Linked DNA regions of Rhinolophus ferrumequinum. The protein of the gene in region 1 interacts with the protein of each later gene in a pairwise test. Links are inferred from orthologs where the notes say so. Each region holds a gene or a part of one and is shown in the gene's direction. Other genes may lie near its edges. The genes, in order: KLHL12, TBC1D10C and TTBK2.

What was found.
Region 2: the proteins of KLHL12 (region 1) and TBC1D10C interact in binary tests that used the Homo sapiens proteins (3 or more experiments, as listed by UniProt). The two-hybrid records come from large-scale screens. The link is inferred for Rhinolophus ferrumequinum from reciprocal best matches to the Homo sapiens genes KLHL12 and TBC1D10C.
Region 3: the proteins of KLHL12 (region 1) and TTBK2 interact in binary tests that used the Homo sapiens proteins (3 or more experiments, as listed by UniProt). The two-hybrid records come from large-scale screens. The link is inferred for Rhinolophus ferrumequinum from reciprocal best matches to the Homo sapiens genes KLHL12 and TTBK2.

What each region holds. Positions count from the first base shown.
Region 1 is NC_046310.1:166,117-173,041, forward strand, and holds the start of KLHL12 (kelch-like protein 12), read left to right. Parts: upstream 1-3,858; 5' UTR 3,859-3,997; intron 3,998-6,381; exon of another isoform or gene 6,382-6,415; 5' UTR 6,416-6,454; coding exon 6,455-6,649; intron 6,650-6,925. Other genes in the region: ADIPOR1 (adiponectin receptor protein 1), read left to right, coding at 27-155. UniProt on the Homo sapiens protein: Substrate-specific adapter of a BCR (BTB-CUL3-RBX1) E3 ubiquitin ligase complex that acts as a negative regulator of Wnt signaling pathway and ER-Golgi transport.
Region 2 is NC_046294.1:4,830,808-4,837,935, reverse strand, and holds the start of TBC1D10C (carabin), read left to right. Parts: upstream 1-4,094; 5' UTR 4,095-4,193; intron 4,194-4,201; exon of another isoform or gene 4,202-4,423; 5' UTR 4,424-4,454; coding exon 4,455-4,606; intron 4,607-5,295; coding exon 5,296-5,395; intron 5,396-5,610; coding exon 5,611-5,718; intron 5,719-5,802; coding exon 5,803-5,909; intron 5,910-6,107; coding exon 6,108-6,222; intron 6,223-6,801; coding exon 6,802-6,867; intron 6,868-6,999; coding exon 7,000-7,128. Other genes in the region: PPP1CA (serine/threonine-protein phosphatase PP1-alpha catalytic subunit), read right to left, coding at 404-514, 587-721, 804-1,027, 1,429-1,533, 2,075-2,305, 2,459-2,590, 3,108-3,162.
Region 3 is NC_046289.1:62,758,677-62,766,544, forward strand, and holds the start of TTBK2 (tau-tubulin kinase 2), read left to right. Parts: upstream 1-4,820; 5' UTR 4,821-4,835; coding exon 4,836-4,904; intron 4,905-7,868.

The sequences.
Region 1 (6,925 bases):
AAGGACTCTTCTCGTTGTCCCTACAGTTCCAGTCTCATCAGATTTTCCACGTCCTGGTGGTGGCGGCAGCCTTTGTCCATTTCTACGGGGTCTCCAACCTGCAGGAATTCCGCCACGGCCTGGAAGGCGGCTGTACTGATGACTCACTCCTCTGAGCCGTCTCACCGGAGGGCGGGAGGGACTTCCCAAGTGCTTTTAAACACAACTTCTTTGCTGAAGTGACAGGAAGAGTCTCAGTTGTCTGTTTCTAGAGGAAACCTCTTAGAGAGTTGAGTCCGAGCAAGCTTCAGCCCACTTCCCACCCTGGGACAGTAAATTTTCCATTTCCCTGGCTGAGGGAAGGTGGGGGTGGCCACACGTCACCATGCCCCTCCTTGGCAGTCCCCTCAGCAAGGCGACTCTGTCCCTGCAGAGTACTTTGAAGCTCATGTTGAGATTTTACCCCTCCTCCAACCATTTTGGGGAAAAGTGATGAACTGGGACTCTTCGGAAATTCTGTTTCTGGAAGAAAAAGTCCCTCCCTTACCGCGTCCTTACTTTGTAACCTGGCTTATAACAGGCCACCGTTTTTGTAGCACACTTTTCAAAAACAATTGTAACCGGTCCCATCTTTCCAGGGCCTGAATCTGCTTACACAGCAGGAAGAATAGAGTCACCAACTTTGATGCAGCCCGGCTAATCATGCAAATGTGTCCAGGCTTCAGATAACTTGAGTTTCAATGTTTTTTTTTCTTGGCAGAGTAATGTAAAATTAAAAAGGGGAAAGATATTTAATATTTAATACTAAGCTTTAAAAAGAAATCTGCTATCATTGCTATGTATCTTGATGCAAAGACTATGGTGATAATAAAAGAAAGTACAGAAGACAGTTAGTGTCCAAAGACTTAACATGCGTGGTCTCAGCCCTCTGCACTCTTGTCCGTGGGTTAGAATCAGCAAAGTCATCTCAGGCCCTGCTGAGGCACACATCTGGGTCCTCGGCATTGCTCGGCCAGCACGCGTGGGCCGCGGAGAAGCCGACTGAGTTCCCAGCATCTGCTCCTCAATACAGCCTTGTTTTTCTCTACTCATTGCACAGAATTTGACGAGAGAAATTCGCACACTGTATCACTTTGTAGTCGTGAGAAGGCCCTCAGAGGTGTCAGGCTGCGTCCCTTTTGAGTATCCAAGGTCAGCACATCTGAGAGCTTAGTTCCTTTCCGACTGCCTGCCATGCTTACGGTTGTGTCGTCAGGAGGTTAGTCCATGCTTTCTGTGCAGTCGTACAGTGTCACCTCCCAGCTAACGGGGGCAGTTAGGAATCTTCCTGAGTTACAAAGATGGGTTCACGTCAAGGTTAGGTTTGTACACTGGATGAATAAGGGATCCTTTTAAAGAATAATCTGACTAGGCTGACAAACAGGAAGTTTCTCAACCTCACGTGGTAATCAGGGAAATGCAAGCTAAAACCAAAGTGTGACTCCACCTCCTCCTTCCGACTGACAGATTAGATAGAAGCCCTGACACTGAGTGGGTGTGGGTGTGGGATGCCGTTGGGAGCAGGACCAGGGTGTGTGGACATGCGTGGCGTGTGTGTACGTGTGGCACCCCCAAACAGTTCATGAGAGGCCATGAGATGGACCTGAAGTCCACCCCGGATTACTTCATTAAAAAGCACTTGTTCTGACCACTAAACTGTTTCCTTGACAGCTCACGGCCTGACTTTGAAAAACACTACTCTTGAGCAACTTGGCTTGTATCAAAAGACTCACTATAGCTGTGTGTAGGCACAGCACACAGCAAACGAGGCAAATGTCCACAACTTGAACGGAAAAAGAAATCTTGGTTTAGCCGCACAATGAAACACGACTTAGTTACAGTGACAACAACACGGTTGGGTCTCAAAGATTAGGGGGAGTGAGGGGAGCAACTTACGGAAAAATCTATCAGGTTCAGAAGTTTGCAAAACCAATGCTAGTTTAAGGGTATGAATATGGTAAAAATTCAAAAGGAAATGTTAATTTAGGCGCATGGTGCCCCTGAAGGGTAAGAACTGGAGGAGAGGAGGGACACACTATTTCAGAACTTAGCTCGTTCCTTGTAACTAGCTGGTCAGCACATGGTGTTCTTAAACCATGCGTATTTTTTCTTGCATATATGTAGTAAGGGTTTAACAAGATGAGCTGATGGCAGAGCACACACTGGTGACCTGCAGGGTGCAATGTTCACAAACGCCTGTACGCTGGGGACAACCAACTGCAGCTCAGTGGCAGCTGTGCCCTTTGTGGAGGGGTGTGCTCTCTGGTTCACCACACTGCCTAGTCCCTGGAGGCATGTTTGCAAGCTCTCCTGTCGCATCCGATCCAACGCCATCTTCCACAGGAACTACGGAGGCCGGAGCGACTGAAATCCGGTGTTTTCTCATTTTCAGTAGGAGACAGGACCAGGGAAAGAGGGTCTGAGACAAAGCGTTTCTTGAGCATGTACTTTGTACTTTGCGTATGTCATTTTGTATCTTTTTAACCCTGTGAAGTAGGTGGTATTATCCCATGCCACATGTGAAAAAATTAAGGTCCCAAAAGACTAAGACTTTTTCCCAAGATGACAGATAGGATCAGAGCCAGTATCTGAATCCAGACCATTCTGAGTTAAACCCCATGTTCTAAAGCCTCCGAAAAGTTCAAAGGCACAAAAAGAAACAGAGGGAAAAACCTCCCTCCTGCCCTGTCTTCCAACCAACCAGCCACATCCTTTTGCCAAAGAAACGAATGTTACCACTTCATTTTCAATCTTTCCAAATGCATTCTATACATATACAATCAAATAGGAATATATTTTCCCAACCTTTTTATGCAAATAATAGCAAACTAGATGCACTGTTCACAACTTCAGGGTATTGGAGGGTGCGCTCTACTTTATTGAACCAGTCCCCTACTTACGGAGGTGAAGGTGGTTTTCCATATAACCTACGACGACCTTGCACACACGTTACTTTACGTGTGCAAGAGTGTGTATGAAGGAGAAAAGATAAAAATCTCAGTTAAGGATATCTGCATTCGTAACTTGAGTGAACTTTTCCAAATGCAATAGAATTTGTACCACTCCTGCAGTTCACCCCCAGCGTGTGAATCAGGGATAATGTGAGATCGTAGGGAGATGATGCCAAAGATGGAAAGGAAACACTGTAAAATTAGATTGCTGCCCACTTGCCTATGGTTTTATCCCTAAGGAATCAAAGGCCCGAGAGGGAAACAGTGTCATCAAACACAATGTTTGGACAAAAATGGGGTCAAGGAGCCTGATCCCCTTGCCAGCCAGTCAGCTGAGTGCGCCCAAATCGGTCAGAAGCGAAATCCCTAAAGGGGACGCCCCGCGCCCCGGAGCTGGAGACGTCGGCAGACGAAAGGGGAGATGAGGCCTCCTTGGACTTCTGATGGGTTCCTTCGCACGTCCCTCAGCGCAGGGACCAACGTCCGGCGACCACCAGTCCCTTCCACGAACTGTCTCGGGGTGCGAGCAGCAGAGAATCACCTGCGGGACGGCGGCGGGCCCCACTATGATGCAGAGAATGCGGAGGTCAGGGGGTCGCAGGGCGGCCCGAAAGGTCACAGCCTGGAAGACACCTGCAGCCTCCGTGGCCTTTCTCGCCGTGAGAGCGTCCCTGAAGCCCTGGCAGGTGAAACGTGCCCCCGGCCATCAGTGCCGTGGCTCCCGGACCCTTCGCGCCCTCCCAGCCGCGGGATCTCGGGGACCAGCTCACTGTCGGCCGCCGCGGGAGGCCGGGCGCCCAACACCTGCGGGTCACGTGCCGCCGCTGCCCCACGTGACGCGGCTCCGGGAGGGGAGGGGCGGTCCGCGCTCTGCGACGTCATCACGTCGCGCGGCCGCGGGGACGGCACCCGACGAGCGGGGCGACGGCTCGCGAGGCTCCGGGTCGGGGCGGCGGCGGCGGCGCCCGGGCTCCTGAGCCGCCTGCTGGCCGCGCCCATCTCACCCCATCCCCACGCGCGGGGCGCAGGTGAGCTGACGGAGGGCGTGGGTGGCGGTGGGCGCTTCCTGCCGGGCCCGACCCGGGTTCCGGCCCTGCCCGCCTGTCCTCCCCGCCGAGGGCACGCAGCGGAGGGGGCTCGGCGCGCGGCGCTCAGCTCCGCCCGCCGGGACCCCAGCTGCGGTGCCCGCCGCGTCCCCGGTGCCGTCGGGGGACACTTCCTCCTCCTCCCGCCGGGGTTCAGCTGGGCCGGAACCTGACGCCCTCCCCGAGTCCTCCATGGTGCAACCCCCATGCAGATGTTATGGAGGTTCTGGGACAGTGGCCTCGGGAACGGGAGGGCGGAGGAAGTGCCGAGACTTGGCCCGGCGAGGCAGGCATCCCCACGCCGCGCTCGAGCTACCGTCGGTGTGACGGGCACGGAGACGTGGCCCGAGCCTGTGGGGACCCCCCAGAAAGCCTCCACAGTCCATGGGCATCTGTTAGACCTTTCCTCCCTCCGCAGCGTCGCAACTCAGTTGGCTTCAGGAAAATCTTTTTGAAAACATCATATGCTCTGATGACTCACCTCCTTTTCTGTAAAGTGGGCCCCGCAGGGTTGCTGGAGGGATTATCTCGAGTGTCACAGAGCAATACGCTAGCTGTAAACAGGAGGACGTGCGATGTCGGTTTTCCCGTTCAAAAAGTGTGGTGTGAGTTTTGGACTCTTGAAGACCCTGGTTTGAGGTTTATTCTTGGATCATTTCAGAAAGTTTTGGATTCCAACTAAGACAGACTTAACCACCCCGTTTCATTCCCCAGAGTTGTCATTGATGAAGAAAAGGAAAGAAATAGTGTCACAAAGCCTGTCACGTACAGCGCAACACGGGCAGTGAGAACGAGAAGGGATGGCGAAGGGTTAAGAAAGAAACAGAAATCAACAGAGTTTTGAAAGGGGCCAAGGGTCTCCCAGCCTCAAAGGACTGCGAGCCCCGAATCGGGCCACCTTGTGGCTTTTATTGATTCACATACAAGGAAGTCGCATTGTTTTCTCCACGGTCTGTGGGTCTCATACACCACACCAGAAAACTGGTTCAAACCGATCACCCTTGCCTGCCGAAAGTCCCATGATGTATAATTATTGTTTGTACCTCCCCAGGGGACAAAACCTTTATGTTTAAAACATACTGAGATGGAGAACTGATGTTATCACATCTAGAACCACTTCCCAAGCAGGTTGTGGGAAGGAATACAGCCACAGAGGCAGAAGCTCTCCTTAGACGGGGGAAGTGGAAAGCTGTACCCTCCTCTATCAACCCCGTGAATTCTCCTGGTGGTCCCCACACAACTGTGCCTGTCTTGGGTCGTTCCTTTCTTGAGGAATCTTACCTGTCATTGGCTAGCCAGCCATGCTTTGGGGCCAAACAAGGAGATGGCATGAAAGGAAACAATGTCCCTGAAAGGAATAGTCTCACAGACTCTTCTTTCTTTTTAGGGGTAGGCACGAGGGGACAGACGGGCAGGCAGCTGCATGACAACAACCATTAAGAAAGTACTTTTTTCATTTTTTGATGTGTAATCTATTACTACGTTCATTCAAGTGATGCGTGCTGGTGAATTTTGCAGGTGACTGACTGTGGCAGTAAAATTAGTGGGCTTTGGCTAAGTTTGTATCCCGAGAAGGCTGTTTGTTTTGGTACAGAGAATTACTACAAATATTAACTTGTTGGTGTCGACGGACATTGACTGATAGCGTAGAGTAGGAAGACCCTTCTGGAGAAGAGCTTCAGGCAGGACCTTAATCAACTGGAAGCCCACACACAGGCCTGCGCGGTTCGCATCACTCAGTGTAGGTAGCGGGTCCTCATTGGCAGTTTCGTTTTAAAAGGAATCCAGATACATTTGGAAATCACCATAAATGATTCTTTGCCTAGTTCTTTAGAAAAAAAGTTTATTTTCACTGACTGGCTTTCACAGCTCTAAGGTGGAGGCACAATTTCTCTTTTCTTGAATGCATTGACTAGGCACTTACTGTACACCTGCCTGGACAGAAAAAATACATAACACAGGATCCCCACCCTCTCCGCACTTCCCCGTGTAAACTACTCGTGGGTGTTGAATAACATGTACGCGCCTTTAAGAAATTTTGTCTTTTCATCATTTTATCATTGGAGATAACAGCCTGTTGTAGATGAGCCGGACGTGTAGTTTCTTTCTATTTATAATACAGTTGAGTATTGATTATGATAAATGTCAGGAGGTAAGCGTACTCAGAGAAGAGATCATTTTTACTTGGGTTACTTAGTGGCTGGATTGTGGGGGTGATGCCAGGAATGGGGGTGCTCTCTGTTTGTTGTTTGGTTCTCAGGAAGCCTCCTTGAGCTGTAACGCTAATTGAAAATGTCCTGTCCCCACCCCCAACCCCCATCCTTCAGATATGCCCCCTCTTTTTTTCTCTTGTATTTGCAGAATCCCAGGGCCCATTTCATTCTTTTTCCACGTTGCTTGATGGGAGGCATCATGGCCCCCAAAGACATCATGACAAATACTCACGCGAAGTCCATCCTCAACTCGATGAACTCCCTCCGGAAGAGCAACACGCTGTGCGACGTGACCCTCAGAGTGGAGCAGAAGGACTTCCCTGCCCACCGCATCGTGCTGGCTGCCTGTAGCGACTACTTCTGCGCCATGTTCACGAGCGAGGTGAAACTTGTAACCTTGCGGTCGGCTCGCTTCATTGGCTCAAATCGCAGTTCGACAGAACAGTGGATTTCTGTAGGTGGGATTGCCATGTTTCCCCAAAAATAAGACCTAGCTGGATAATCAGCTCTATTGCATCTTTTGGAGCAAAAATTAATATAAGATCCGGTCTTGTGTTAGATAAGACCGAGTCTTATAGTAAAATAAGACCGGGTCTTATATTAATTTTTGCTCCAAAAGACGCATCAGAGCTGATGGTCCAGCTAGGTCTTATTTTCA
Region 2 (7,128 bases), on another chromosome or scaffold:
AGCCTGCCCTCCCTGGGCAAAAGGACGCCAGGCCCAGTGTTTGGGACACGGGAGACAGAGGCCAGGGTGAGAATCCAGCTTTGACCTTTATTCAAGAGACCAGATGGGTTGCCCAGGATCCGGCTGCCAGCCCTGAGGCCAAGCAAGGCTGGAGACCCACAACCTGGCCCTGCTTTGCCCTGAGCTGCAGCCTCAGCCCCAGGATCCTGCTTGCAGCCACCGAGGCACAGGCAGGGGGAGCCCTGGGGGATTGGACGCTGCTACTGATTCATTAAAAAAAAAAGAAAAATACACCAAGGCTCCGTGTTCCCTTGATGGGTAGGCCCAGGGGCCAGTGTGACCCCCACGGCTGTGAGATTGCTGCACAGTCCACCCTCGGGGGCAGACAGCGGGCACCCACAGGCTATTTCTTGGCTTTGGCGGAGTTGCGGGGTGGGGTGATGGGCCGGCCGCCAGGGTTCAGGCCACTGAACTGCCCATATTTCCCCTTGTTCTTGTCGGCGGGCTTGAGGATCTAAGAGAGAGAACTGGTCAGGCTCACGGGGCTGAGCCATGGGCCACCAGCCCCTTCCTTCCCCACCCCTACCTGGAAGGAGCACATGAGCGTCTCGTCCACACTCATCATGGCGCCTGCATTGTCAAACTCGCCACAGTAGTTGGGAGCTGAGAAGAGTGTCACCAGCTGCCGCTTGGCAAAGAACTCATAGCCATCTTCTACGACCTGGATGAGGACGGGGCAGTTAGTTCAGCAGGTGCTGGCTGCCCAGGCCCCACTCCCACCCAGACCAGAGCTCCCAGCCCACCTGGTGTGCCCGGCAGATGAGGTCCAAGTCGTGCTTGTGCAGGAACTTGGCCACCACCTCAGCCCCGAAGGTAAAGGAGACACCACGGTCGTTCTCGCCCCAGCCCTGCACATCCTTGTCAGGGTCAGACCACAGCAGGTCACATAACAGCCCCTGGTCAGGCACATCTGTGGGCCGCATGATACGCCTAATCTGCTCCATAGACTGCAGATCCGGGGAGAGACCTGAGGGACACGGGGCAGGTCACTTCCTCAAACAAGCCTCAAAACAAGGGCCACCCTCCTCCAGAAAGTCTTGACCAATTAGCTTCTGCCTCCCCCCACTACCACCTGGCCCTCTCCTGGACTCCTGGAAGCCCAGGTCGGCAGAACTCACCGCCTTAGCCTGTTTAAGTCCCTGCCCTCTAGGAGCGCAGAGCTCCCTAGAGAAAGGAAACTTCTAAGTTCCACGCACAATGCTGAGGCCACAACAGCAGAGAGTACAGCCTAACACTGGCGAGGGGGGACATCCAAGCCCAGACCCCAGGGAAAGCTGTTCCAGGTGACTGGGAACACGTCCTCCAGCAAACAGCCTCATCCCGAGGTCCCCAGGGATGTGGCTGGGCTTTTCCCAGAGCCGTCCTCACCTCCATGGCAGCAAAAGATCTTCTCGTCCACAATGGCCGCGATGGGCAGGCAGTTGAAGCAGTCGGTGAAGGTTTTCCAGAGTTTAATGTTGTAGCGTCTCTTGCCTGCCCAGAGGAAGGAGATGGCTTGTGAGGCGGCCTGTCCATCCAACCCACAACAGGGTTGTGGGCCCCCCAAGGCCTCCCAGACACAGCTGGGAGAGGAGCGTGAAACGCAAGGGAAACCCACTGCCTACCAGCTTTCCAGGAGGAACCCCCGAGTTCCAATCCGGAACGTCAGGGTTGGCACCCACCTCCACCCTGTGAGCGGGGCCAGGCCAAGACCAGATCTGGTTAATCTCAGCTTCTGGCCAGCAGAGTCCAGGCCACATAGGCATCCTAAGTGCTTAAGTAACGGATGTGCGAGAGGGAATGTTACCAGACAGGACCCTGTATTACACTGTGGTCGGCCCTTCCTGAGGGCCAGGCCCCATGGCAGCAGAGCAGGAGGGCAGTCGGGCAGGGCCCTGCCTTCCCCACACTCACAGTCTAGCAGGTTATCTGTCAGATGCCGATACTCCTACCACCAAGTCAACGCAAGGGTCCCACCAAACAGTGGGGAGAGAACTTCAGGCCTCTGGCAGCCCCAGGCACGCAGCCCACTCACACTCATCATAGAAGCCGTAGATGCGGTTGATGCTGGCACACTCGTGGTTCCCACGGAGCAGGAAGAAGTTTTCGGGGTACTTGATCTTATAGGCCAGCAGCAGGCAGATGGTCTCCAGCGACTGCTTGCCCCGGTCCACGTAGTCCCCCAGGAAGAGGTAGTTGCTCTCTGGAGGGAAGCCACCATACTCAAACAGCCTTAGAAGATCATAGTACTGGCCATGGATGTCACCTGTGACCCAGGGAAGCAGGTCAGCACTAGGTGCGGGATCTAGACTTGAACCCAGGGCCAGGGTGGGCTCAAGAGAAGAGGGATCCAGGGGTTGGGCGGAGGGGGGGGCGAGGACACCTTCAGGAAGCAAAAGGGCCTGGGCAGGGGTCTCACCGCAGATTTTGAGGGGTGCCTCCAGCTCCAAAAGAATGGGCTGGCTCAGGAAAATCTCCCGGGATTTGAGGCACAGACCACGGATCTCATTCTCTGTCAACTGTACATTCTTGCCAGGCCGCGAACCCTGCACTGGAGGCGGAATGGAGCGTCAGGACCCTGGTTCCTCAGACAGGAGGGTGGGCGGCACAGGTGCCCCATGGGCACTTCTAGCGGCGCCTGGGCCTCCTGGGCCCCTCCTTGCCCCGGGAAGCTGTTGCTGCTTAGCCTGCCAGGACGGGACCCCAACTACCCTTAAGGTGCTCGAGGGGATTGCTGTGCGCAAGGGCCGAAACCCCCCAACGCAGGACCCCTTTCCGGGGGTGGGGGGGACAGGCTTCTTAGATTTTTCCCTCACCCCAAGAGCCCAGGCCAACTGGTGCGTCCCCGGTCCAGAGGAGGGGGCTGCTCCCCGTGCCCGAAGGGCCCCAGACGCCCCCAAGGTGCGCCGCCAGTGGGGGGGCGGCTGCGGCCGCGGAACCTCGCGGCCCGTCCCCGCCCAGTCTAAGCTAGCCCTGGGAGGGGCAGGCCCGCCCGCGCGCAACTTCCGGGCCGAGCCGGGCCGGGGGTTAGGGCGAGGCGGACGCTGACCTCCCACACCCCAGCCAACCTTCCAGTAGGCGCCCGATGATAGAGTCCAGATTGAGCTTCTCGCTGTCGGACATGGCGGCTCTGCCGCTCCGGCCCAGCAGCTCCGGGCCAGCTCCTGCCTCCCGCCCTCCGATGCCTCCTTCCGGCCTGTCGCTCCTTCCGCCCGCCCCGGCCCGCCTCCTCGGCCGCCCGCCCCGCCCCGGCCCGCCCCACCCCGCTGGCTTCCCTTGCCTGCTGCCCCAGCTCTCTAGCGCCTCCGCTGGACGCCATGCGGGAGGCGGGGGCTCGGTGACGGGGCGGTACTTTATGTGCCTGGGGCGGGGCCTGGTCGGTGGGCGTGGTTTTGTGGGGTGAGGTTGAGTCTGGTTCCGCCCCTGAGAATTACTCAGCCTCTTTCTGAGAATATAGGACCGGAAATACTGTGGAAGTTGTTTTTCTCTTTCACAGGCGGAACAGCCGAACTTCCCACCTGGCGTGAGCACGTTAATCATAGATTCCCCAAACACTGTGGATTAAGTCCTCAAAGGACAGAAAAGGAAACTGAGGCTCAGAGATAACAAGGGGCTGGTCCAATACCTGGCCTCACATTCACAGAGGACCTCTACCTCCTGCGTCTTTGTGGCCCCCGAGGTGGCTGACCAAACCCAGGCAGCTTCCATAGAACTCCGAGCCCATTTTAGTTCATACTGCCTGTGGTGCAATCTAAATTAATTTTTTAAAATCCCATCCTTGCCTGCCTTTGAGTAGCACAAACTGCATTGTGAGCATGTTAAAAGTATTACTTTCTAAAGAGCAAACATTAAATAAACCATAATTCTCATTGAAACCCTGAATTGAGTGTTTTATATGCCAGTATCCTCCACAGGAGGCAGCCTGGCCTCTACCTCCAGCAGTCCCTGGTCCCATCAAGCCCGGCACAAGAACCCAGGGTACAGGGTTGGGTTGGTGGGAGGAGCCCATAGCCCAGGGGCACTGGGGCAGGCCGGAAAAGCCTCAGAGAGGAAGGGGTAACCCCCCCACACACACTGGGGAGGGGCCCCCCAGTGGGTAGCTGAAGCTGTGTCTGAGGAGGAAGTGAGAGGAGGAGGTGAGGTGCTTCTGGGAGGTAAGCTGGGGTGCTGGGCCAGGGGCTGGGTCTCTGAACAGAGGCCTGGCCTTTCTGCCACTTCAGGGTCTAACCCCCTCCCACCAATAGAAGTGGGGACACAAGGGGCTTGTTGAGATACCCTGAAACCTCCTCCCTTCAACCCCACAGCCAGGACCTGAGGCTGAGGACCGGTTGGATGGGAGGCCAGGCCAGGAGCTGCCTCTCTCACTGGTTCTCCCATCTTGCAGCCTCTTTGTTGCATCAGGGGTCTGGGGCACCATGGCCCAGGCCCTGGGTGAGGACCTGGTGCAGGCTTGTGAGCTGCAGGATGATTCCAGTTCTTTGGGGTCTGACTCAGAGCTGAGTGGGCCCGGCCCATATCGCCGGGCCGACCGGTATGGCTTCATTGGAGGCAGCGCAGCAGAGCCAGGGTAAGTGGGGAAGGAATGGGGGTGGGGGAGGTCCTGGATTGAAGATAGGGGCTGAGAGCTGAATTCTAGAATGAGGCCCAACCTCAAGGGTCCTGGGCGGGTCTGGGGACTTAGCAAGTGTCACCCCTCCTAAGGCTGGCAGGACTGGGCCGGGGTGTCCTTGTCTCTTTACCCCCAAACCCCAAGGGTTTGGACCCACCTTGGGAACTGAACATCCTTTCCCTTTTAACCTCTGGCCCAGGAATCCCAAATCCAAATCACAGAACCCACACTTCTTTCTCCACCCTCCCCCTTTCCCAATATACAGACAGGATAAAAAGTCCAGAGACACGAAGGAACTTGCCTGAGGTCACACAGCAGATCAGAGACTGAACCAGTCTCAAACTCAGTACTCCTGGCTTCTAGTACAGGGCTCAGTCCACACAGCTTCCCCTGTGAGTTGTCTGTGTCCCTATCCTGGGGGACAGCCAACCAGCCCCTCCCCCAATGCACACCTACACACCCCTTTCAGTCTTTCCTGCTTCCACCCACATTGGAGCCACATCCTTTCCTGTCCCCATGACAACCACTGGCAACTCTTGGGTGACAGGTCACCCCCCAGGGGCTCACTTAGGTTGCATGAGGGTGGCAGATGTGGGCTGTAGGTAACAGCTGCCTGGCGCCTGGATGTCTATGCCATGTGCTCCCAGGCCTGGTCACCCTTCTGCAGACCTTATCCGTCAACGTGAGATGAAGTGGGTGGAGATGACTTCACACTGGGAGAAAACCATGTCTCGGCGGTACAAGAAGGTGAGGGGAGAATGGCCCCACCCAGGCCGTCTTGGCTTATTCTCCTTTGCCTCAGCCCAGGCCCTGGCAAAATTTAGTCCCCTCCTGTGTCCTGTCTTTTCTCCCTACCACCCAAAGTGGCCCTTGCCTGATGCTAAGTTGTGTTTGGGGCCTGCCAGCAGGAGCAGGGGAGGCTGGCCCTGCTGGCCTAATGGGGTCCCTTGGCCTCCGCACAGGTAAAGATGCAGTGCCGGAAAGGCATCCCCTCAGCCCTGCGTGCCCGGTGCTGGCCTCTGCTGTGTGGGGCCCATGTGTGTCAAAAGAACAGCCCTGGTATCTATCAGGTATAAGAGTTGGCAGGGGTTCCCCCCTTTCCAGAGCCCCTCGCCACTTTGAGCCCTCCCACCTACCTTCCTGCCTACCCACAGGAACTGGCTGAGACTCCGGGAGATCCACAGTGGATGGAGACCATCGGCAGGGACCTGCACCGCCAGTTCCCTCTGCACGAGATGTTTGTGTCTCCCCAAGGTCACGGGTACGAGGCCAGTGATGCCCAGGGACCCCCAGCCTCACAACCCCAGGCATTTTGGCCCAGCCCCTCCCCACCCCAGCTTTATGTCTTTGCATCTCAGGGGAGCCAGCAAGGCTGGGGGTGGTGAGGCTTGGGCAAAGGCTGCAGAGAGGGGAAAGGGATGCCAGGAGGACTGATCCCTAATGGGGTCTTCTGGCACAGGCAGCAGGGGCTCCTGCAGGTACTCAAGGCCTACACCCTGTATCGGCCTGAACAGGGCTACTGCCAGGCACAGGGTCCTGTGGCTGCCGTGCTACTCATGCATCTGCCCCCAGAGGTGAGTGCCCTTAACCCTGTGCTAGGGGCCCGAAACCCTGACCCCCAACCCCAGTGACCCGTGACTCCCAACCCCAGGGACTCTGATGTCAGGAACCTGGGATCCTTGACCCCAGATCCTGTCCTAGTGACCCAGGGCTTCATGACTGCCAGCCTCAGTGACCTTAAAGCCCAATGACCTGGACTGCAGGAACCTGGGACCTTTGCCCCTTGCCCCTTGCCCCAGTGAATAGGAGTCTGCATGTTATCACCTTGACCTCCTGACTCCTGATTCTGAACCCTGTCACCATGATCCCTAAACCAATGACCCCAAGAACCCAGGACTTGAGCTTTGGGATCCTCCCAACCTTTGACCAGTGAGCCTCGATTCTGTGACCCTCAAATTCAACACCCTGAGCCCTGTGACCCATGAGCAGGGGAGGCTTTTGGTAAGAGCGCCCCCAGGTCTGAGTCCCGGCACCTAGATCCACAGTCACTGCAGATGGTATCCAGGCCCTCCCCTGCACCCTTTCCCCCTGCCCTGCGGTTCCCCTTGTGGCCCCTCCATGGTGGGCACTCATGGCCTGTGCTCCACCTCCAGGAGGCCTTCTGGTGCCTGGTGCAGATCTGTGAGCTTTACCTGCCAGGCTACTACGGGCCCCACATGGTAAGAGTCTGGGATGAGGCCAGAGGGCACAGGGGGAGGGGCTGGGTGGATGGGTGGGTGGAGGCCTGGGGACTGAGCGGGGCAGAGCCTGCTGGGCTTTGGGAGTGGAGGTGCTGACGGACATGGCCGCAGGAGGCTGTGCAGCTGGATGCTGAGGTGTTCATGGCCCTGCTGCGGCGGCTGCTCCCGCGTGTGCACAAACACCTGCAGCAGGTGGGCGTCGGGCCCCTGCTCTACCTGCCCGAGTGGTTCCTGTGCCTC
Region 3 (7,868 bases), on another chromosome or scaffold:
TGTTTCTGTATCACTATAAACTTCCATCTTAGAATTGCTTTTGCAGTGTCCTATAGATTTTGGACCATTGTGTTACATTTTCATTTGTCTCAAGGTATTTTTTATTTTCTTTTCTGATTTCTTCCTTAACCCATATGTTGTTTAGTAGCATGTTGTTTAGCCTCCAGGTTTCATTTTGAAATTGATTTCTAGTTTTATACCATTTTAGTCAGAAAAGATGCTTCATATAATTTCAGTCTTCTTAAATTTACTAAGACTTGTTTTGTGGTCTAACATGTGATCTGTTCTGAAGACTGTTCCATGTGCACTTGAAAAGAATGTGTATTCTGCTGTTTTTAGATGGAATGTTCTATAAATATCTATTAGGTCTATCTGATCTAATGTGTTAAGGCCATGTTTCCTTGTCGATTTTAAGACTGGATGATCTATCCATTGATGTAAGTGGGGTGTTAAAGTTCCATACTATTACTGTATTACTGTCAATCTTTCCATTTATGTCTTAATATTTTCTTTATGTATTCAGGTGCTTCTGTGTTGGGTGTATACCGGTAGATGTTTACAAGTGTTATATCCTCTTGTCGGAATGATCCCTTTATCATTATATAATGCCCTTCTTTGTCTCTTTTTACAGTCCTTATTTTAAAGTCTATTTTGTCTGATGTAAGTATTGCTACCCCAACTTTCTTTTCATTTCCATTTGCATGAAATATCTTTTTACATCCCTTCACTTTCAGTTTGTGTATGTCTTTAGATCTTAAGGGAGTCTCTTGTAGACAGTATAAATATGGGTCTTGGGTTTTTTTTTTAATCTGTTCAGCCACCCTGTCTTTCGATTGGAACATGTAGTCCATTTACATTTAAAGTAATTATTGATAGGTATGTACTTACTGCCATTTTATTAATTATTTTCTGGGTGTTTTTGTAGTTCTTCTCTGTTCCTTTCTTCTCTTGCTTTCCCCCTGAACCTTGATGACTTTCTTTAGTGTTACGTTTGGATTCCTTTCTCTTTATTTTTGTGTATCACAGGTTTTTGGTTTATGATTACGATGAGATTCATATGTAACAACTTATGTTTATAGCAGTCTATTTTATGTTGATGGTCACTTAAGTTCGAACCCAGTCTAAGAGCACTACATACTGTGTTTCCCTGAAAATACGACCTAGCTGGACAGTCAGCTCTAATGCGTCGTTTGGGGCAAAAATTAACATAACATTATGTTATATAAGACCCAGTCTTATAGTAAGAAAAGACTGGGTTTTATATTAATTTTTGCTCCAAACGACACATTAGAGCTGATTGTCCGGCTAGGTCTTATTTTCGAGGAAATATGGTATTTGCTCATTACCCACCCCCCCACATTTTATGTTTTTGACATCATATTTTATATTTATTTTCTGTGTGTACTCATATACCCCTTAATTAATTATTATAGATATAAGTGATTTTACTACTTTTGTCCTTTAACCTTCATAATAGCTTTATAAGTGACTGGGTCACTAATTTTACTAAATGTTTGCCTTTACCAGTGAGTTTTTTCTTTCCTATATTTTCTTATTTTTAGTTTTGCAGGCCATTTATATTTAAAGAAATTATAGATATATTTAGAGTTAGGTCAGCCATTTTATTATTTGTTTTATGTTTATGCCCCTGTTTTTATTCTTTTATTTCTCCTTTCCTACCTTCTTTTGGATTATTCTGACATGTTTTGATGTGCTACTCTCTTTTTTTTCTTTTTTTCTTTTTTTGTATAGCTATTTTAAGCAATTGCTCTAGGGATTACCTACCTAATTTTCCATTCTATTAAAATTATTATATTACCATTCTAAGTAGAATGCAGAAACCTAATCACCATTATATAGGTCTCTAACATTCCACCTTTTTGTTGTAGTAGTCTTATAAAGTATATCGTATACATTGAAAATCCTTTTAGTGTTATAATTTTCTTAACTGTCAAGCATTTTTTTAAAGAATGTAAGAGGAGGTTAGTCTGTTATATTTACCTAGATTTCTGTTGCTCTTCCTTCATTCCTGTTATTCCCAGTTTTCCTCTGTTCCGTTCCATTTCTTCTTCAGAAGAAATTTCTTCTCTAGAAAAAATTCTAGGTAATTTCCTAATTCTATCATTTCTTCTGCATTTATTAGCTGTGCTTATTCTCTAGGGAAAGTTGCCCTCATCATTTAATTCTTTCACAGTAGCTCTGCTAAAAACACACAATCTTAATTTTCTATTATCTGAGAGTGTCCTTATCCTTGAAGGGTATTCTCTCTGGATACAGAATTCTGAGTTGACAATGCTTTTTTCTTTTAGTCCTTAAAAATGTTTTTCTGTTTCTTGCTAGCTTTTGCCTTAGCTTGATATATACCTTGTTTCTTATGATATGTAATGTAAGCTTTTTTTATTTCCTATGCATTTATTTATTGGAGAAACTGGGTATATTGTCCTTCAGGGTATTCAGCATCATGGATTTAGCTTATGGTATCCTCATCTTGACATTTAACATGTGCTTCTAGTCCCCTTATTTTTGTAAACTGATATTTAAATCTAGCAGCTTGATTACATCTAGGCTCTTTTAGAAGAGGCAGGACGCTCTATAGATGGTACTGAGTAAATGTTGTTGCATCATATCAGGAAGCATTTATGTTTCATTATCCTGCTTTTTAGCGATGTTAAGATTGATCAGTGGGTTCAGCTTGATCCATATTAAAGTTCCCCATCCACATCCTCCATATGTTTTTAGCAGCCTTTGGTGGTCATTGCCTAGATTCATTATTTAACCAGGGATTTTTGAATTCCTAATTCTAGGCGATTTCCTAATTCTGTCATTTCTTCTTCCACATTTATTAGCTGTGATTATTCTCTAGGGAAAAAGTGGCCCTCATCATCTCTTTGTTTCCCTGAATTACTGTTCATACCAGAAAGGCAGTATAAATTCTTGATTATTTCTATTTATTTACCAATTTTCAGGATAAATAGTTGTGCCCTAGCAACTTCGAGAATTGACCAAAGTGGAATTTTCTTTTTTGAGTGTCATTATGAGCTCATGGGTGTTTATATTTTTCTTATTTTCCAATCATTGCAGTCACCATTTGTGTATATGCTCAAATTGTTTCATCTTTGGCAAATAGGAATCCTTTCGGTTGTCTCTGATTTCCTATTGACTTGCCTGCAGTAGTACTGTTAACATTTTTGCTTTCTCATTTGACAAGACATCCCATATTTTCTTTGTGTACAGTTTCCTGTGCCAGACCTGGTACAAGCCATTTCTCTGATTTTTTTTTTTTTTTAAGTGGGAAATGATGTTCAGAGTCTACAGTCTAGAGGCTGGGGTGCTCATTGTTACTGGGTTATCATTGCTTTTAGGCCTTTTCAGGCCAATCCTCGTGCCAAATCTTTTACCGTAATTTCTTGATTGATACTTGTTATGTAGTTGATTCTTAAGGGCATTTCCTGGGAACAAGCCTTGAAAGCTGGAACAAGCAACTTTCAAGGGCATTAGCCTTGAAAGTTGGTTTGAGGGAACAGAACTTTCCTGGCTCACATTTTGTTGCCTTGGGTATTTAAATGTATAATTCCATTGTCTACTAACATAAGCTGTTTGTGCCAATGTTTGTCATCAGTCTGATTTTCTTTCCATTATAAGTAATTTGGACTTTCTGCACGGATGACCAATGAATTTTTTTCCCCTTTAAAACCCACTAGTTTTATTAGACTGTGTCTTGATATTGAGCTTCTCAGTTGTTTTCTTAGGAATGTGGTGAACATGCAGATTTAGCCTTTTGTATATTTACATAAAATTTTCTTGAATTATGGTGGCTAATATTTGTTCTATTTCATTGCTTTTTCTTTTGGGGGGCTTTCTATGATAATGTATTTTGTCTTTTATTTATCTCTTTCAATTTTTGAATTTCTTAAATTTTTCATTTTCATTTTTCTCTTTTGTTTTTTCTCACTTATTTATATGGTATCTTGTCTCATATCCCTTGTAGTTGAGCCTTCATTTCTTTTTCTTTCATTTAGGACTCTTTTCTGAGTTCATTCAGGTTTCTTTTTATGTCTTCCTGTTGCCTAGCTCTCTCATTTAAGAGCTTTTCCAATTATCATTTATGTTGTTTTAAAGCTTCTTTTTCTTACTTTTCTTTGGTTCATCTTCTAATATTAGGTTATGGTTTTCATCTCCTTTAGGCCATATTTTCTGCTGTATCTTCATTTTCTACAGGTGTACTGTTCATGTTATTGATATCCTCTTTTTCTTATTGTATTGGGTTTGATGAATAGCCCTTTTCTGTGGCTCATGGTTATTTCCTGTGCATTTTAAGTGCATTATGTAACATTAAAATTTTATTAGCTCTGATGATGGTAAGCTCTAACTTACAACCTATTAAACTATAAGCTGTTGTAAATTAGGTACCATATCATTTTCTTTAGCAATATGTTGTACTTAGGAAAGTGGTCTGTCTGGGTCACCTGCTATTGACACCATGCTTTCCCTATAGTCTAACAGTTTCAGCTATTGTAAATTATATCTGTGTCATAATGTAATGTTTTTGTAATGTCTAGCTGTTTCATTGGGTATTTGTGATGGAAAGATAAATATTTTTTACAAAGTATTCACTAAACAGATTTTTAAAGTGAGTTTGTTAGTTTCCCCCTTCCCCTTCCAACAAAGCAACCTAATTAACGTATGGGATTAGTAATGCTACTTGTTGCTAGAATGTTTGTGTTAATTAGTTAGTCCCGATATGCCACTGCTGTTTCTTTTGTTTTAGGTTAAATGGAAACCACCCTTGGGAGCTGGATGCTTGTGTAGCGGTTCTGTCACGTCAGTGAATTGCAATGAGTGGAGGAGGAGAGCAGCCGGATATCCTCAGTGTTGGAATTCTGGTCAAAGAAAGATGGAAAGTGGTGAGTATACATCTTTGGGGTGGGGGGGAAGGGGAGAAAGGGAGAGAAAGAGAGAACACTTTTAATAATTTTTGGTGTCTTGATAAAAATAGCATTTCATTGGGAAAAAACACATATTGCTTGCTAAAGCAGTTACTTTCAGTTTTTTCCCTATGATTAAGTTTGGTTTATACCCAAATTCTAATTCTTGCTTCATGTAGTAGTAAATTGTCCTTATCTCTGAGAACTAATATTGAGTAAGGTAAATAAAAGTATACTTAGGGGAAAAAACAAATAAAAAAATAGAGTACAGTAAACTGCTTTCTTTTTTATTTTTGAACTTTTTATTAAGAAAAATTGTAAGTATACATAAAAATAGTGATACTGATATAATGAACCTCCATGTACTCATGCCCCAGCTTAAATATTTATCAAGTTATGGTCAATCTTGTTTTATCTCTTTAACCTCACTCCCAAAATATATATATTTTAACTCTTTATTTATTTTAAGTGTGTTTTTCCAGAACCCATCAGCTCCAAGTCAAGTAGTTGTTTCAAGGTAGTTATGGAGGGTGCAGCTCACAGTGGCCCATGTGGGGATCGAACCGGCCACCCTGGTGTTACGAGCATCATGCTCTAACCAACTGAGCTAACTGGCTGTCCCCCAAAATATTTTTAAACAGATCTTTCCCCTTAGTATTTTACGATACATACTTCAGTATGTATCTCTAAAAGATAAAGATTTCTCTTTAAAACACAATCATAATATCATCACACCTAAAAAAGTAATAATTTCTTAATATTATTAAGTATTGGCTTTTACATTTCCCTGATTGTTTTTTAAGTTATTTTTAACAGTTTAAATCAAATCCAAATAAAGTCTGGATATTATAATTGGTTGACATCAGTTAAGTATTTTTAAGTTTCTAGGTATTTTTTTGTCTAGTTTTCCCTTACAATTTATTTGTTGGAGAAACTAGGCCATTTGTCTGTAGAATTTCCTATGGTTTGGGTTTTTCTGATTGCTTCTATGTGGTGTTAACATGTTCCTCTGTCATGTATTTTATATAAATTGTTATAAATGTCCTCTATTAGGTCTGACTTCAGTTCTAATCTGAGATGGGGGCAGTTTTTTCATAAAGGGTATTGTGAACTTTCCATAGGAGGCACGTAATGTGTTACCGCCTGTCTTTATGGTGTTACTATTGTGGATCGTCATTGGCTGGTATGTTAATTCATTTGGGATTGCAGATTGGTGATCTTTCTCAACTATTTGATTTCCCTGAGATATAACTTGATTAAGAAAACAATAAATACTTGATTCTTTTTTCTTAATTTACCAGTTTTCAAAATAATGAATTGATTCCCTAGCATTATCCAAAAGTGACTAATGACATTTTTAAAAATGTGATTCACAATTCATGAGTTTAAACACATTTAATGTGTTTCAGTCCATTGTAGTTCTTATCCTTATCGATACTCAAATTGTCTCATTTAACTAAGGGGACACCCGTCAAGTTGTCTCCTGAATTCCTTCAACATGATCGTAATAGTCTTTTTCTTTTTAAATTTTTTAAATTGGGGAATATTGGGAAACAATGTGCTTCTCCAGGGCCCATCAGCTCCAAGTCGTTGTCCTTCAATCTAGTCGTGGAGGACGCAGTTTAGCTCCAAGTCCAGTCGCTGTTTTTAATCTTAGCTGCAGGGGGCGCAGCCCACCATCCCATGCGGGAATTGAACCAGCAACCTTTTTGTTGAGAGCTTGTGCTCTAACCAACTGAGCCATCTGGCCGCTCCCCTAATAGTCTTTTGATGGCTTCCTTGCCATAGACTTATCAGCCATCTCTCCTCTTCTTAAAGTAGCTATTTTTGTTTTGGATATATTTAAATATATTGTATTGCTATCTAGTCTTTTGTTATCCAAAGTTTTTTATCTTTTACCAGCTTTAGCAAAGCTGTTTCTGTGGTTTCCTTAATCAATAGATTGGAAAAAGAAAATTCTTCATTTTGAAGTAAAAATTTTGTTTCTGTGGTAGTGTTTTACTGATTAGGCAAATCAATAGGTTTAGAAAATTTACTTGAGTAAACATAAGAAAAGAACCATAATCATCATGGACTGGTGCAGGGAGTTTTCAACAATTGGTAATCTTTTATGTAAGTTAGGAATGAGTGTTGCTTTATGAGAACTTTGTATTAAGTGCTGCCATAAAGGTTGGCTGTTCTCCAGTAGACATATCGCAAAGTTGCAAATGAAGTTATGCCTGGTTTAGTTGCCCTGTCCTGATAATTAGAGCTAATATATGTGTGGAACATGTCCCCCAAGTATGAGAGGCATAGTGACATTTTTAGTGAGAAACCACAGGCTCATTGGTAAGGATGGTGTTTTGGTTATCTAGTGTTGTATAACAACTACATGAAAACTTAGAGGCTTAGAATAATCAGTTATTTTGCTCACAGTTTTGTGGGTTAGGAATTTGAGAAGAGTTTGCCTGGGTGGTTTGTCTCTTACTCATGTGGCACTAGCGGGTTTGGTTGGTTTGGAGAATTCATCCCAGATGGCTCGTTTGGTGCTTTGGGGATCCTTAGTTCCCTCAACCCCCAACCTGGTGCCTCATTTTCTAGGACTGCTTCACAGGACTGTGGCTTCTGAGGAGGCCATGGTGATTGGCTCTTGAGAGACAGGAAACAGAAGCCTTGAGGCTGGTTGAGGGCTATTATCAGAATTTGTGCAGTGTTACTTTTCCTGGTTCTCTGTTGGTTAAAGCAGTCATAAGATTCACACAGATTTAAGGGGATGGGGAAATGGACTCTCCCTCTTATTGGGGGAGTGGCAAAGTCACTCTGAAGAAGAGCAAAAAAGATGAGTGATACTGTGGTCATCTTTAGAAAACACACTCTGCCACAGGCCTTACCTTTATTTTTTTCCCCTAATCTACATACCCCCATCATACTAAACTGCCTCTGTCTCTTTGCCTCATAAGCGTT